2 linked regions of the Rhinolophus ferrumequinum genome follow. The protein of the gene in region 2 interacts with the protein of the main gene of each other region in a pairwise test. Links are inferred from orthologs where the notes say so. Each region holds a gene or a part of one and is shown on either strand. Other genes may lie near its edges.

Region 1 (9,095 bases), on a different chromosome or scaffold from region 2:
CATGGGTGGCCACAGGACCTGGGACTGCTGGAGCCCCGTGTTATTTCTGGGTACATGCAGCCTTATCGATTGACCTCCGTAAGCTATATGTGTGTGTACATATGGTATCAGCATTTTGTATGAGTGCCATGACATGAAAAAGGTGGGCACTGGTCTAAGGCACCTTTGGCTCTGAGATTTTAAGATACGGGTATTTTCTTTTTCTGGGTTTTTTTTTTTTTCTTTTCTATTTTCTTCAGCACCAACCAAGCCCAAAGACCCAAAAGGGAGTGTCAGAATGTGCCTTTAGAAATTTAGAAAACTCTTCCATCTCCATATCCAGAGGAGACCACCATCACCCAAGAATTGATACACTAGAATGACTGATTTTATAACTGACTACCGTGAAAAAAGTTTTATCCCAAGTAATCTTACTGGTGATAGTCTTCTTAAAGAGTTTTATTTGAAAAATAAACATTTTCCCTAACATACATACTCACATAGATATAGCCTTACTCACCAACCATTTTCATTTTCACGTTTGGATAGTACCTGTTCCTTATCCACAGACACATTACAGGAAACACCTAGAAAGAAGTAACAACAATTTATTAATGTGGTTTGTTATAATACACATGCAGACATTTAGAGAATTCCTAATTCAACTTTTATTTTACAATTCAGAGGGCCAGAAAAAAAAAAGAGTCCAAAGTGTCTATCTATCTGTCTGTCTGTCTGTCTCTCTCTCTCTCTCTCTCTCTCACACACACACACACACACACACACACACACACACACGGGTGGTTTAAAGCTAAATGTCCAGGAGTATTCTGGAAAAGGGTGGCAGAGTAAGAATTATTTCCTTCCCTCCCAGAAAACTACTGAAGTTAATAAAATGAATAAAATCAGAGGGGAAAATTCAATCGACAGTAAAAGCTGGAACAATTAGAACCTCAACTCACAGACTACCAGGAATACCTGCCAGGTACAGTAAAACTACCAGGAATACCTGCCAGGTACAGTAAAACTGGAGTCAAAACCAAGGAAGATGCTGAAAGCCAGTGCACAGCTCTCCAGAGCTTAAACGTACAGCTTATTTCTCTAAAAGTAATTAGCGAGTGTCCTCAGGAAGCCAGCCAAAAACCTTTTAGACGCGGATAGGAGTCACAGTTGAACTCCAGAACAATCAAGAAGCACTCCTAGAGGATCCTGGTCCAGGACCCACTAAAGCAAAGGATGGGGCCTAGGCAAGAGATGGTGCTAAAATGGCCAAAACACTCTGGATGTCACCTCCTCCTACAGTCTACCTTAACTCGGTAAACTCTACCTATCTATCCAGGGGCTCAAATCAGAAACCAGGGTGCCGACCTTGATTCTGCATCCCCTCATGCCGCTCCCCCACACCCACTACACTGATAAGCCCTGTCAATTGTGCCACCTCACAAGTCGCACTCCAGCCCCCAAACCGCCACCACCTCCTCTTGCCTAAGCCACTGCACTAGCTCCGACCTCCACTTCCATCCTTATTCTTCCCTTCAATGCTTCCTCCAAATGAAAATCTGGGTCACGTCACACCCCTGCTTACACAACTCACTCACTAGAATAGATTCCAATTCTGCAGAACAGCCTACAAGGCCCTGAATTTTCGGGTGTCTTCCTTCCTCCCTAAGTCTTATCGTTATTCTATTTTTTGGCCACACAAGTCTCCAGGTCTTTGCACTAACTGCTCCTTGTGCCTGGGAAAAGCAAAGAGCATGATCCCAGAATTGTACATACAGCCAAGTTGCCATCATGTATAAAAACAACAGAAAGACATTTTCAAGCACTCACACTTGAAGTTTTCTTGAGGATGGAGAGACCACTGACAGCAATTAATCAAACTGAGGAATGAGAAAGCTATCAATAAGCCTTCTCATAATATTGATGAGTCCTGGAGTTGAGAAATGAGCTCACATAAATATTATATGAAAGCTAAAATGACCGTGCTATGGCTACAGAATAATATGTAAATGTTAGAAATCTTGACAAAGTAAAAATAATTCAACTAACTCAAACTGGGGCAGAAGAGAATGGAAATTAATCCAAGAGTTCATTGTTGTTGTTTTTTTATCTTTCATTGGGGGAGATGTTAAATCAATTTGTAAAAATCCCTATTTTACAGAAGAGGAAACTGAGGCACAGAGATGCTAAGTAGCTTGCCCAGAGACATAGCTGGAAATGAGCAGGCCAGGATTGAAACCCAAGCAAGCAGTTGAGGGGGCCATCACCACACTATAAAGCCTCTCAGCAAGAGCGCAATAAGCATCTGATAAAATCAAGGATATCCATGTACACTAGTATGGAAAAATATTCAGACTATATCCGTGGAATAAAAAAAGTAAGGATGCTTAGCAGTATAAATAATACAATCGCAAGTGTGTTTTTAAATTGAGACATACTTAGATATGCTTATACAAGCATGAAGCACATCTGGAAAGACAAACGAGACTAAGCACGTTAACTCTGGGGCTATGAAGGGTCAGGGTCAGGGCCAAGGCCTTTTTTACGTTTACATCCTTCTCCACTATTTGATTTCAACAGGTCAAAGGGTTAATCCCAATGAATTACTATGGGAGATGTATATTCTTAGGCTTCTGTTTAACAACTGAGAGGGACTCCTCAGCGATTATTGCTAATGAACCGATGCATCCTTATGGCCAAACGGCAGGTACCAAAGAGTTTCAGGTAACTGACCGACACTGGAGCCCACCATTCTTCCCGATATTTTGTCACAGGAAAGAAACCATTCCAGGAACGTCAGTAAACTGGTGGTGAATTTGTGCCATCAAAACATTTATAGAATTCAGAGCATAAACTTCAACTTGAAAACCACAAGGCCTAAAAGAAGAGCCAATTTTACACGAATTCAGAAACAAAATATGTGTGAACCACTCCCCTAAATAAATACTATAAAAGCAACAAAACAAGGTAACCAGGTAAAGGTGGGAAAGCATACTGGTAACTAACTGGTAAGGCCAAGATTAAAAGCTAGAACTCCCGCCTTCCTGTTAACTCTTACTAGATCCTCCTTCCTCTCCAATTTTGATGGGGTTATTCGTGCTTTTATTGCAAGTTTCCTTTTAAAACTTTTTTGATAGCATTGTGTTCTGTCAACTCCATGGTCGCCACACTTCAGACTGTAAAGGGGTCTGTCGATACAACTAATCTGATGTGAGAAATCAATCCTGACGTCCCCCTGCAGGAAGCAGGTAGCTGAAAAGCTTGATTTCCTAAATAATCCATTTGCAATATTATTTACCAATTAACAGCCCACTAATTTCTATGGGGAAACAGAGTGTCTACTGCTCAAATGCTTACAATTTACTTGGTCATTTTTTACTGAATAATACAACTATACCCATTCAACCGCTACTGATGATGAATGGACGGGGGATCCCAGAAAAGGACCTGTCACTCGTGAGCCCAAGGAGCAGGGGTGACCCTCCTCTTCCTCTTTTCCTGGGTTAGCTCGCCCTCTTGGATTTTTCTGCTTTTAAAGACCTTGGGCAGCCCCTAAGCACCCACCCCACTCCGCCTCCTCCGGGGTCGCCCACCTGGAAGAAGGCGGCCCTGAGCACACACCCCCCGTCCCCCACCCACCCACCCCCGCTCCCGGCAACTGACAGCGCAGCAGGATGCAGTTGGTGTCCTCCTGGCAGGTCACCCAGCTCAACGAGTCGCCCAGCGGCCGCCGGCAGCCGGAGCACAGAAACACCAGTGGCCTGTCTTCCTCCTCGGCGGGCTCCGCAGCCTCCGTGCGCCGCGTCTTTTCCGCGCAGGCCACAGACATGTCCCCGCTCACGGAGTTCCACATGCTCGTCCACTTCTGCAGCAGCTGGTGGCGGCTTGAGTCTTCCAATAGTCGCTGGCTTAACGGCGAGGGTTCGTTCCATGTGCCCTTGTTGCCACACGCACAGCTGGTAGAGGAGCAACCTTCGCAACTGCCCCGCGACCAAACACCCGCCATTACGTACAAATAGCCCGCGCAGCAGAGCGCCACTGGGGAAGGCCTCTGCGCATGCGTGGGGCGTGGCGAGAAGGCGGAGCCGGGGCTTTAGGGGCGAGGCCTGAGGGAGGCGGGACGGCGAGCAGCCCGCTAATGCGCAAGCTCGCCGTCGCCTGAGCCGGCCGGGGGTGATTGAGCCAGCTGCAGGTTTTCCGTCCTTTGTAAATCAAGGCTGCTAGAGATGTGATGGCCAGTTTACCTGGTTAGGGGTGTCCAGCCACTTACGTAGGAGGGGCGGTGTCTTTGAGAAAGTTACGCGCCCCGAACTAAGTTCCCGTTCTCTCACCGAGACCTGCACCGTGGTCGGTAAAGCGACTACGCCGCCCCACACGGCACCCAGAGACAGAGGAGTTGGGCACATCTGCTTTCTATGGCCTCGTCCCTCCTGGAGGCGCTACAGCCCCTCAGACTGGAGCGTAATGAGATCGCCTGAGAGCTGGTTCACACAGAATACTGAGCCCCACCTTCATAGATGTGGCTCGATGGGTCGGTGGGCCCAAGAATTTGCCTTTCTAACTAACAAGCTCCTAGGTGATACCCACTCTGTCAGCATTGGCAGCTCCACTTTGGATTGCCAGTGTTCCAGTGTGTCTGCCTGATTTCCACGAGGTGGAGAAAGCAGGGGCTGTTGGGGAGCCACCCCGTCACACATTTCTTGGGTGCCCTGGTATGGCTCCAACAAGACCCTGGAAAGGGCGCCGGATCACTCCGGCCAGCCCTGCAAAGCAAAAGCATACGCGCGGTGTGCAGCTGCCTGTTGCAGGAACGCTTGGAAGTGCCTCTGCCGTCCGGATCTGGGAGCCATCTGCCCCTTGCGCGATGAGTATCCCTTCTGTGTGATAAGGACAGACTTGCTCAGCTGCCCCCGAAAGCCAGCCTCGGACGTTAAAGCACCACAAATAGAGACGGGAAAGGCTGATGGGGAACTGACCAGCTGCAGCGCGGACAACCCGGGAGCATGTCTAGAAAGAAAGTTACCCCCAAGGCCCAGGGTCTGCTCAGACGATCCTTTAGGTGTGCCCTAAATCACTGCCCACTTTGTTGGTCAGATAAGTTATTTACATAAATTTTACTTCAAATTTTAGCGCCTCTGGCCACTTGCAAAAAAAGCAAAAGCTTTGGAGTCAGAAGCCTTGGGTTGACCCATCCTTCCCTGAGGTTCTAGTAACTGCGTAGGAAACTGCGGAAAGGCTACTTGCCTTCCCTGATTCGGATTCTTCAAAGATTAATGGGTCAGTACTGCACCAGTGATGTTATGAAGGTCAAGTGATAGAATATACATGAAAATACTTTAGCTCACCATGCCCATGTCAATTAGCCTCCAGCTAGAGGAAAATACTTCGAATTATTTTCGGTTTTTATTTCACGCATAGAATTGCTTTCCCTCCTTTTTTGTGCAGGCAAGCTTGACGTCTCTGGACTGTGGTTGTCAACACAGTGTCTCTGGTACAAGGTTGATAAAACCTATATATGTTCTTTAGTAAGTGGGTAGTCATCTTGGAATTCAAGGGATGATTTCTGCCTCAACACTTAAATTCTGTGGCGGGATATCCCAGTAAAGAAGAAATGCAAAGTGGATTTCCTGATCATTTCCTCACCGACACACTTTTGCTATGGTGCCGGCCCATTCCTCTAGAAATAATAATAATAATAATAATAATAATAATAATAATATAAATTATATTTTACAACTGTATTGCTATAAAGACTCAATATAAATATGATATATTAAAACATTTTCTTTGACCTAAAACTTAATTTTTTTCTTCTGATGTTAAAAGAGATTAAAACATTTTTATGGGGACCCACAATTATATTATGGGCCTTAGGCACCACGCCTAGTGAGATGTCAACCTCAATGCAAAACAAACTCTACAGTCCCAAGTGTTATGAATACATAGTATTTAGATACCCACAAAGTCATATTTTATGTGGGGACATGCTTGAGGAAGAAATGAGATGCTTGAGGAAGATGACCTTGGATTGGGTGGTTGTAGTTGCTTCCTGGACAACCAGTCCCACCCTTCCTCTTAGTTTTACAACTGGGAGATTTGGATAAGGTTGAGTCCAACCCCCATCACCTCCACTGCCATCACCACCAATTCTAGGAAAGGGTCCCCAGAGGTTTAACCTAATCAGAATAACCCATCTTCTCCATAGTCATTGATGGAGGAATGGCTCCTATCCCAGTCTTAAGCCAATCAGTGCATTGTGCTTCTTTCTCTGGCTATAGGGATTGGCTCAGGATAACAGCTTCATCTAAGTTGTCAAATTTTGTCCAATCAGAGTAAATCTCAAGACTCTTGTTCAATGGTTAAAGGCAGAGATGTTCGCTTTGTTCCCTGAATGTGAGCAGGGAAGCACATACCCAGGTCACCTTTCAAAGACGGAGGACAGAACAGAGAGAATCACAGAGAAACTGAGAGCTCAACCTCTGGACTTTTTCAGTTATGCAAGCCAACATATTCTCTTTATTGTGGAAGCCAGTTTGAGTGGTTTTGGTTTTACTAGCAATTAAAAACTGTGTGTTACAGTATGTTAAAGTGGAAATTTTGACTGAGACTCGAAGATGAGTAAAAATGACACACTAAAATGTGTGAGACAGATTGCCTATCTCCTCTGCAGGGAACTTCAGAGCCGATATTGGAGAACTAATTCTTTCCTGCCCTAAACTAGCTCCCACCTTTGGGGAATATTAAAGCCTGGAGAAAGTGGTGACCAAGATAACTTCATAAGAAAGATTTCTTTGGAGACAGGCTGGGTTATGAGTTCCACTTCTCCCCATGAGAGAAGGTGGAGAGTATCTTCCCCTTGCCTCAATCTGGCTAAGAGACTTCGAGGAACCAGTTACGGAGTCTGTGGGTTCCCAGGTGTTTGGGGACAGTGGACAGCAGGCATCAAGCTGTCTTGGTGGCATAACAAAGGTGAGCCAGGTAGGTTGTCAACCAGATAGGAACTTTGGTGGGTAGGTCACCTACCCTAAGAGGATACAAAAGAATGAAGATTCTCCAGCAGCGAACATCCAAGTGTGAAAGGGGCCTTGGAGAAGCAGGGCTGAGGGGAGCAGCCAGTCCAAGGGGAGACCTTCCTGGGTCGTGGGTGTGCAGCTGGGGGTGAGAGTGCAAGGTGTTTCCAAGGGGTCGAGAGAGAGATGGTTCTAACCATGCCAGGCCAGAGGGTGCGAAGCCAGGTTAGGATAGAACCAATTCAAATGAATACCATCTTGACCTCTTTGTTCCCCATTTTAACCTAGGAATGGAAACAGCAAGGAGAAGTGAGAAAGAAAGCAGAGCCAGCCACACACCCCTCCCCCACTAGAAGCAGGGGCCCACTTACATGTCCTACTTTGGGGAGGAGAACAGTTCTTATCCTGGAGTGAAGATTGCAGTATTAATATCTTAGATTGGATATTATCATTCTGACATTGAGATTTTGTTTGCAACTAAAGTAGCTGCAGCATTGTCTACCCCCTAAGAGGTACACTCAAATTCCGAGACTACGGGGAGCATTTCTTTACAAACAGTCTGATAATAAAGGTGTAGATGGCACATAGGAGAGAATCTTGAGGGATAGCGCAGGAACCCAAGTGAACAGCAGTGCGCTGACACAACCCTTCCCTTGACCCAAAGCGATGCAGGGAGTGAGAGGTTACTAGAACCCAGAAGGAAAGAGAGTTGTGAAGAGCAGACTACTTTGAGAGGATCACCCTTCCACCAAGGGACACAGCCAGCTGAGGTGACCTCACAGGGAGGAAAGCAAGAGATAAAAATCCCCCGACGACCGTGGTCTCATCCCTCCCTCCCTCCACTTTCCTGCTGGAGCTCCCAGTGGTCAAAATCCAGTAGCAATCCAGAGATCACTGAGCATATTGATGCGATTTATACAAGTGAGGGTGGAGAGTGATCTGGAGAGGCAAGCAGAAGGAACCCCACACACACTGCCCTTGTCTTCATCCTGGGGCACCAAATAAGTCCTGAGGGCACGGGAGGAAGCAAAATTCCAAATAGAGTTCTATTTTGATTCTATCCTTCAATCCTTCTTTTTGCTCAACATACCCATTACTCGGACTATCTGATTCAATCCTCATTTCTGGCTGGGTTCAAAAGCTTTGGTGTAAATAATAAATAAATGCTAGTCTGATTTAATGTCAACGGCTAGCACCAGGGGAGAGACAGAGAGAGAGAGAGACAGAGAGAGAGAACAACTAGGTACAACTAGGGGAGAGAAGAAATAGGAAAAAGGATAGAAGAAACTAATGAGGCCTTGACAATTTTGCTGGAAAAATGTATGGCTTATTAAAAATGCTCTGGCAATTGGAGAACATGGGGAGTTAATGGCTACTGATTGCAATCATGCTCTAGATTTTAATTGCATGCACTTCCTTGCACTTACCCATAAGAATGACAATGAGGTATGATTGTAGGTCACAGAAGTCAATTGTCTGTCCCCTTTAGTATTTAGAGAGCTGGTTGCAGCTGCATTTGAGGACCATTTGGTCCAACTCTTATTGGTGGAGATATGTCTGGGAGCCAAATGGCACCCACAGCTGCCTCCCCCTACCTGCTGGCACCAAGAAATTTCCATGCTGCTCACTGAGCCCCCAGGGACCTCCTGCCACAATCAGAGCCCTCCTTAGGGGGATAAGATGTGCTGTGGGAAAAGTATGGTTAGATATTTATATCTGTGTTCCAGGAGTGCAACAAGAACTACAGGAATATGCTTCACCTTTCAAAAACTCCTCAGAGGCAGGATGTTCTTTAAATAGTTCTGTTCCCCTCTCCTAGTCAATGTGTGGAATCACGATTTTCCGGTCTTTAACAGAGATATTTAATTCTCATGCAAGTTGGAAAAAAAATGAAAAGAACATGTGATTTTCAGAAAAATCATAATATATTTGAGCTGGGAAAGAATCATAGAGATGCTTAGTCCACACATCTCACTCTGCAAAGTCATGAATCTAGTGAATGGCAGAGATTAGTGGCCATCTGGGCTGTTATATGTCCAGTACCTTCTCCTTTTCTTGGGAAAAGTGCTCCACCCTCCTCCCCAACCCCAGGTGGGGCTTCCCATC
Region 2 (8,902 bases):
AGAAAGGAAGAGCATCAGAGAAGGAATAAGTGAAAGTAAAACAAAAATTTATTTTTCTTATTCTTAATTGATCTAATAAATAAGCTTGTTCATAATAATAATAGCAACAATTTGATTATGTATGCTTGTGGTATATATATGTGTGTATATACATACTCATATAAGTGAAATGAATGGCAGCAATAATACAAGGAAAGGGACAGAGGAATTAGGATTATTTTGTTATTGTAAGGTACTCACTCTCCCCAAAAAATTATGCTGTAGAGGAACATTACATAACAAAAATGTTAATGCTGTATTACTGAGTGAAATATAAACTGCCTATAGAATGGTAAGTTCAATGTGATTGTGTTTTGTAATTTTTATTTATACAAACAAAACCTTACATTTCTAGATGGTAGGATTACCCGAAAGCTCATTATTATAGGGATATACTAAATATTCCTAATCTGGGCTTCATTGCTGAACAACTCCCCTCCTGAGGGTATTGTTCTTTCTTTAGGTATGCCACTCGGTCATCTAAGCTCCTATCAGGACATAGGGAGAAGTCATGCTGTCTTCTTGAAGAGTCTTAAAACATCTATGATTTGATTAGTTTTATTTTGATGTGTATATTTATAATTTCCTTTATCATCCAAGTTCTAGGGGCCACATGGATTTTGCCATATATATGCCACACACAAAAAAAATGCTGATGTCACTAGTTACTGATGACTTTAATAAAATATCATTTTCTCAATTGACCATACATTTAAAGATGAAGTTTTTTGCATCAAAAATAACAAATACACAAAAAGCATTAAATAAACAATCATGATGATTTGAAATAATGAGGAATCAGAGCTTTCTGCAATCATTTCTCCCTAATGTTTCATGTTAATTTTTATACTGTTAAAAAAAAAACCCACTTACTTTCCCTATAAAATGTACAAGAGATGTCTGATGCTATGATTGTCATGTGAGAAAACGTTTCATACTTTAAAATTAAATGTTGATGCTTTTATGTTTATTACCAGCTAATGGGAAATTATAAAAGCAATCATACTTCCTAATTTGAGTGCTTCTTAAATAAACATAAATCATTAAAAAAGCAAGACTATTTCACTTGATTACATTTCTCAACCTTTATTTTCAGGTGTATTATTTCAGAAGATGAAGTCGATGATCAGAATTCTTTCTGGAGTCAAAGCTATCTGAATTCAAATTTCATTTCTGCCACTTACTGGCTATGTGAGTTTAGTAAAACTATTTAGTTTCTCTAACTCTTGGTTTTCTTATCTGTAAATAGCAGTAGCACTTATCATTATCTCCTCCACTGAGTTATTTGTGTTGGTTAAATGAAATGATTGTATAGAAATACTTAAGCAGGGGGCTGGCCTCAATAAATGCTCAATAAATAATAGTTATGTGTATGTGTGTGTTAAGCAGAATGCATCCTATTATCCCCAGAGATGTCTGGATACCTGCTGAACCTCATTCTAATTCTTCAGCACTGAGTTCAGAAGTTTATTTGGATCTGGCTGTGTTCACTGGGGAGACTGAGTGAAGGATAAAACAATTGTTCTTACTGTAGTGCACTGTATACTGTATCATATTATGTTGATCTTATTGTTTTCTATAACCCTGCAATTGAAGAGGTGCACGTGGCTTAGCGAAGTGCATATATCCAGGTTAGCTGACATACAGGACTGCTTGTTTCATGCTCTGTTGGAGGGAGACATATTATTATGTTTCCAGAAGGTCAATGTGACCCTCACTCTTTCAGGATTTGAAAACTTGAAAGCTTGCTCCTCATTGTTTTAAAGAATTTTTAAATTATTTTTCTGTGTATCCTGTGTGATTTTCTCTCTGAATTCTTTAATGAGTAGATCTTGATGATTTACCCAAGTGGTAGCTGTGTCTGGTCTGTCTATTTGTGCCTGCTATTGACATTGGCTGATGCAGTGGTCAGTCATGCTCTATGCTATGTAACCACTTTATGAACACTGGGTTCTTACGGGGTGAAGCAGGCAGCAGCTTTCTTTCTCTTCACTGCTATCCTTCAAGCCTGCTTTGTCGGCTCCCCTTCTGCCTCTCCTCAAATAGGAGCTTGAGCTCCTAGAGAACTACTAGTCACTCTTGGGTTTTAGAACAATCTGATTTTTAGGAGTCAAAGAGTACAGTCTAATATAAATAAAAATTTGCCCTTGTATCTAATTCAAAGTTCTCCTCTTTCCCTGTACTCCTGTTTTGGTAACAGTGCAGATGGAGGTGGGGACAGAGGGGAAGGGGAATCTATTTTGACAAACTTATTCCATCTTCTCCCCATTTGCTTGCTAACTCCTGCGTTTTCTTCCTGAGACTCAGGTCTTACTATACTAGTCCCATTACTATCTGGCATCACTGATTTTTGTGTGGCAGATCTATGAATGTCTGCATCTTTCTCCCTTGGGCACTCAATCAATTAATTCTTCCCCGATCTGCTGTGACCTAGAAATCTCAATTCTCTGAAATACAACACTTTTCAGTTCATTTCTTATGAGCTAGATCTTGGTTTCTGATATACTGAGGTCTGGCCATTTCTTTTTCTAGATTTTCTTGAAACTTCCCTGTATCCGCATAATAACACTGTCTTCACACATTCCCTCACAAATACACATTCATGCTTGAACTACTTTGATAAGTTTTCTATTCCTTGCAACCAAAACAGGCCTAACTAAGTTATGGGAAAACTGATGACATCACAGGGAATTGGACAGGCTGGAGGGAAATTTCGTCCATGCTATGGAAAAGTCTTATGACTGTATTCCTGCTTCATAGCAGTGGACATTGGTTTAGTGGCCAGAATACATGCATCCATCAGGTATGGCAACTTGTTTCCTTGAATGATGAAAAGAATAAATGCAGATAAATTCTTCCTCTTTGGTGCCCATTTTTTGGAGACTAGAAGCTGACCATTGCCTTTCTGGTAGCATGTTTCAAAACAATTAGATAACAGGTTGTTGTTGCTTTTATTGTTATATTCCAGTCCTATAGATATTTTGGACCTTGGTTCATCTTGGATATTCATTAACACATGTAAAATGTTTCTGCAGTAACACAAGTAAAAATGAGTCTTTTAGTGTGGATTCCTACTCAAGATGATATACTAAATTTAGCTATGAATAATAGAGACCCAACTATAATGGCTTGAACAATACAGAAGGCAATTTTTATCTCATTTGAAAGAGATGTGAAGGTAAGCAGACCAGAGTTGGTATGCTGGCTCTATGATATCATCAAGTACTTACATTTATACTATTTTTCTGCTATACCCTCCTTAGCATATGACTTCTGTTCTTAAGTTCTTCACAGTCCGAGATGGCTGTTGGAGACCCAGTCACGTGTTTAAGTTCCAGGCAGTAGGAAGGGAGAATGCCAGTTACCTCCTCTTCTAAATAAGTCACACTGGAAGTCTTATCTCATGTCTCCCACTGACATCTAATTAGCCACATTTACTTGTAAAAGAAGCTGGGATATGTAAGCATTTATCTGGTTAGTGTGCTACCTTAAACAAAAGTGGGATTTTTTTTTTTTTTAAGGAAAAATGAAAATTGGTGGCAACAAGATAGCTTCCTTCATTAATTTTGACATTGCCAAGTTTCTTTTCCTGATCTTATCTTTATCCACTATGAAGCAACTTTTTCATTTCCCGCCCCCCCACACTCACCCACAGCAAGGACATTTCAAAATAAATGACCACATGTTGAATCAAATACATTTAGCTTCATGGAAAATCCCTATATTGCTTCCATTTTTTTCTTGGGTTATAGGTGAAAACTTCATTGGGAAACCGGTCATTACTATTCTGATCCTTGGTTGGAAACTTTTGGTATTAGCTTTAGCTTCTCCCTTAATGTTTTATTTTGAAAAATTTCATACCAAAATAAAGTTGGAAGAGTACAATTAAACAACAAATATACCTTGCTTGTAGAGTCACGAATTGTTAACATTTTGCACATTTTCATTATTGATCGATTGCTCTATAAATTTTATTGTTGTTGGATCTTTTGAAAATTTAATGGGATTTTAGACCCCTTCGGAGAATAAATTCAAGATAGAGGGCAACTGGTTATTATAAAAAGGATAATCTTCTCTTGGATATTTCATAGGATCAGACCATACATATTACAGATCCCTTTAAATAGACTTCAGATTGCAACTTCCGTTCTGTGTCAGAGCCTTTCAACTGATACTTCTCAAAGGGTTAATCTGATCTGAGCATACCATAAAGCAAGCCTATTTAGATATTTTAATGCAAACCGAAATTAAAATTATAGTGCTATTGCATTTCAGATAATTCAATTTGATTATGACATTAACAACGTCATTGTATAGCCAGTAAATCAGCAAAAGATGGGATTTCTTACCAGAATTCTCACAATAAACAAAAAGCCAGGAGGAAGCAAAGTGGCTTGCCATAGAATTTAGAAATCTGAATAACTTGCTTCATCGTGGAAAGCAGTAATTCACATAGAATTGATATATAGTTCAGGTTCCATAATGTCAAAGAGGAATATTTGGAACATCCTTTACAATAGGATGTCACTCACACTAGGTAAGGAAGGTTAAGCCAAATTCCAGTGCTCCATCGTTTTGCCTGGCTGCATAGGTTTTAGGCATAAATGCATAAATAGGCATGAAAATTATGTTATTACCATTTTACTGTCTACTTTTCAATTTAATAACCAAGTAATTGGGCTTACAGATACTGCTTTCATTGGAGTTTTATTTAAATAGGACATAAAGATGTGTTTTCTTTTCTTTTTGCTAACAGGACAAACAGAAATCGTCTGAGAAAGGGTCTTTAAGGACCAACCATTTAGAGGCATGTGGTAGACTGTAATACTGTTCATCAAACATTGCAGTTTCCATCTCTGCAGTGCTCCTGTGGGATGTTTTTCGGTTGCTGCGGCACAACTCAAACCACTCTGATTTGAATGAATTTTGGAGGGACACAATTAAGCTCATAGTAGGTGGCAATTCCCAAGTTCAACGCAGTACAAAGTGCTACATTAAGGGCAGTTGTGAGATGTGAGGTTAGTAATATTGGTCACGTGGGGGGCACTGAGTGCCAAACTAGAACCACTGAGTTTTTTTTTATCAAAGCAGTGTGGAGGTGAGAATTCTGTTTTAGGAAAGCAAATCTGGTGGTTGCTATGGGATCAATTTTACTGGAAGAAATCGGAGGTAGGAAAACCATTTGCAGGAGCGATGTAACAATCCCTGATGGAAAATTAAAGATCCACATTCCAACGGCAGCATCTCAAACGCACCACCGCCTGGCAGTCTTTCCGGATCCTTCCGCCAGAGGGGATCTTTTCTACGAACCCGTATTTTCTTCTGTTTAAGGGTTGCTCCTAGAACACTTAAATATCACCTTATATTGTACTCGTTTCCGTAGTTTTCTTATCCCTTCCACTTTGCAGTTCCTCTAGCAGGTGGCACCGTGGCGGCGTCGGAGCGCCGCAAAATCTGCAGGAAGCGGTCGCGGCGGGCGGGGTCTCACACTCTTACGCTGACACCCTTTGTAGACTTGACTACGTTCTTTAGACATCCAGGGGGCTTGGCCAGTTGTTTGCTCAGCACAGCGAACAGGGCGGCCTATGCCACCCACAAAAGGACGCACTTCTCAACTTTCTCGGTGTCAGGGCATCGGGCTCCGCTCGCCATGGAGCAAGAAGGTGATGCTCACTTCGTTGAACGGATGACTTAATTATTATCGATTAATTTCCTGGCAGGAAGCAGACACACTCGCCGTCCTTTAAGGGGTGGCAGCCACCGAAAGACTAAAATAGCTTCCTTTTCTGTAAGAGGGGCTTGGAATACTCAAGAGGACCCTTTCACCTCCGAGATTCTGCGCATCGTTTTTGGCAGTAAGCAAGGATATAAGCAACAATTGAGATTCGAAAGCCATAGAGTACTGACTACGTCAGCATAGAGGCTGATTGAAAGCGAAATGGTTCCGTTTGTATAGAAATCTGTGAGCCTTCCCCTAAAGGGAGTAAGCAGAGCGCCAACTCCGCCTTCTCCCAGGGTGCTCTGCGCGACACGTCGACCCCACCCCGCATCCCAGGGTTCCCTGCACGGCGGTCTCGCTTCCGGTGGGCTGCGTGCGCGCGCCCAGCGCCGGAAGGTGCTCATGAGTGATTGCTCCGCCCACCCAGGCCTCATCTTCGCGGCTGCTGGGGTTTGAGGTTCCCGCCGGGCAGGTCCGGGCTGGGCGAGAGCGATGCTGTGCGGCCCGCCTCGGCTTTGAGGCGAGAAGAGCGTCCCAGACTCCTTTCCGCTTGCTGACGGCGCTGAGCCCCGGGCAGTCATGTCGACGGGGTTCTCCTTCGGGACCGGCACACTGGGCTCCAGCACCGTGGCCGCCGGCGGGACCGGCACAGGCGGCGGTTTCTCCTTCGGGACAGGGGCGTCTAGGTAACCGCACTTCCTCTCCTTCCGGGCCCGGGTCCTCCCCGCGAGGCCCTCGCGGGGTGGTCCCGCCTCTCTTCCCGCTGGCTTGGAGAAAAAGAATTGCCTCGCGCCAGCTTCGTAGGCCTCCGCGCTCGCTTCCCAGCTCGGGCCCGACAGACGGCCTGGTTGAGAGGAGCGTGGATGGTCTCTGTGTTGTGAGGTCCCCAGAACCCGCGATGGTTCGTATATTGTTCCTACCGAGTGAGATCTGGCTGGGAGTTGACATCCGAGTCCTAGCAAATTCGTCAGTCTTAGGCACAGAATGAATGTTGAGCGAATGAATGAAATTGTAGCTTGTTGTGTGGGGTTTTGGAAAACACAATTAATAGAAAATTTGAAGGAGGACAAATCAAAGTTTCTCCCTGATAATTCAGATTCCATTGCAGGATATACGGTTTTAGACACTACAGTGCATTAAAGATTTTGTAGTTAACGAGCTTTCAAGTCTTTGTGCCTCATGGGACCCTCTGTCCTTTTTGTTTATTTGTTTTAAATACGTTTTACAGCATTTATTGGTGATAATTTTGGACAGTATGCAAGTTAGTAAAGTGGGGATGTTGTGTATTAATGACTTACATTGCCTTGATTAAATTGCAAAACGTAGGTGACATTCATCGTTTGTGTGTAATCTGCTACACCCTAAGTGGTGACAAAAATTTGGTTAGCAGAAGTCCAGAAAGAGGCAATTAAAATAGTTAAAGATCATTTTAGCGATGACAGATTTAAACTTTAGAACTAAATATTTCGAAGATAAAGGTGGAGGAGTTCATTAAATCATAGGATGAGTTACAAGATATCTTGTGAGGCTTTAAGAATGTGGTTGTAGATTAAAGAGACAAAAATACCTTCAGCATTATCTGTATTTAAAAGGGAGGTGGGAACCACAGAGTACACAGTCAAGTCAGAAATCTGGAAGTTTTCCTTAATACCTCCTTTTCTCTCACTCCACACACTTAATCAGCGAGGCCTGATAATTTGAATTCTTCATTTTATATTTGCTTCATTTCCAATGCTACCACCCTGTTGCAAGGTCTTGTCATTTGTGGAACAAATACTTATTGGACACACTTCTATGTAGTAGGCTCTGTAGTAGGTGGTAAGATAAGTAGGAGTCCTACTCTCCTGAAGCTTATGTTCTTATGAAGCTTATGTTCTTATGAAAGTACTTAAGATTCCTGCCAGGTTTTCAACCAGTGACCTTTCTCTTGTGAAATGAGAACTACTTCCATCATCTTCTACTTAGATTAGTTCAATGAAATCCCAGTTGCTGTCTCAAAAATCTACTTTTATGTCTCTCTTTTTTTACTACATTGTAGCCAGGTTGATTTATTTTAAGTTCGCATTGCCTCTCCAATGATTTTCCACTATCATTGGAATGAAGTAAAAATAAATCTTGCTACGGTCCACAAGACCCAAATAAGCTGGAACCTCTTAGGCTGGCTCATCCTGAGCCCATCGTTTCAGTTTGCTCCAATTCAGTGGTCCAGACCCATTGTAAAAAATAACATGTTGTCACCCAGTTCAGGAACACAAGTAACAATGTTTCAGAGAAAGATACTTACCGGTATCTCATGTGATACACTTTGATATTTTCTATTCTGTTGTATTTCATTTAAAAAAAATGCTGTTACACTCTACTAAATTGATTTTATACCTTCTGATGGGTCCTGATCTTAGTTTCAAAAACACGGCTTTAGCAACAGTGGCTCTTTTCTCAGTTCCTGAGGTGGGCTTGGCCAAACTCCATCACACTTTAGGGCAGGTTCCTCTGCTTGGAGTTCCTCTACCACCTCCTTGCGTAACCATGTGCCAAGCTAATGCCTACTTTTGGGACTCACATGTTTACTTCCCCAGAGGCCTTTCCTGACCTCTCAGTGCAGGAGATCTGCCCATCCTCATAGCACCCTGCACCCTGCACTTACCACAATTGTAATCAGTTCAGTATCTTTCTGTTGACTTACTGATTGTCTGATCCCAGAAATAGAATGTATGCTCCATGACGGTGGAGACCTTTTCATACTGTTTTTCCAGTAGAATAGTGGAGCTGAGTACATATTTGTTGGATGATCGATCAGTGTGTTTCTCTCACTGCCTGGAAACTTCCGGAGGGCAGGGTGTGAGTGTTTATTATCATCCCATCTGCAGTGCTCAGTCCCTGTGACAGTGCCTGGCCGGTAAGAAGGGCTTTAATAAGTACTTGTTGAATGATGGGGTAAATGAGTTATTTATTGGTAATAAATTAGAAAATTTTACACACATTTTAGAACGGCTTGGATAAATTAATAAAAGGAGAAGCAGTCTAACATCTCTCTGCAATACTGGTTTGGAGGCCTGACTGCCCCTGGTTCCACTTGGTGATTTGGTCTCATTCTGGGGAGGTTACTCTCCAGGTCTCAGTTCCCACCTTTGGAAAAGGGGAGTA

Evidence for each region.
Region 1: the proteins of NUP58 (region 2) and MIS18A interact in binary tests that used the Homo sapiens proteins (3 or more experiments, as listed by UniProt). The link is inferred for Rhinolophus ferrumequinum from reciprocal best matches to the Homo sapiens genes NUP58 and MIS18A.

What each region holds. Positions count from the first base shown.
Region 1 is NC_046285.1:98,524,277-98,533,371, forward strand, and holds the start of MIS18A (protein Mis18-alpha), read right to left. Parts: upstream 4,010-9,095; 5' UTR 3,986-4,009; coding exon 3,643-3,985; intron 567-3,642; coding exon 500-566; intron 1-499. UniProt on the Homo sapiens protein: Required for recruitment of CENPA to centromeres and normal chromosome segregation during mitosis.
Region 2 is NC_046287.1:97,838,001-97,846,902, forward strand, and holds the start of NUP58 (nucleoporin p58/p45), read left to right. Parts: upstream 1-4,754; 5' UTR 4,755-6,337; coding exon 6,338-6,444; intron 6,445-8,902. UniProt on the Homo sapiens protein: Component of the nuclear pore complex, a complex required for the trafficking across the nuclear membrane.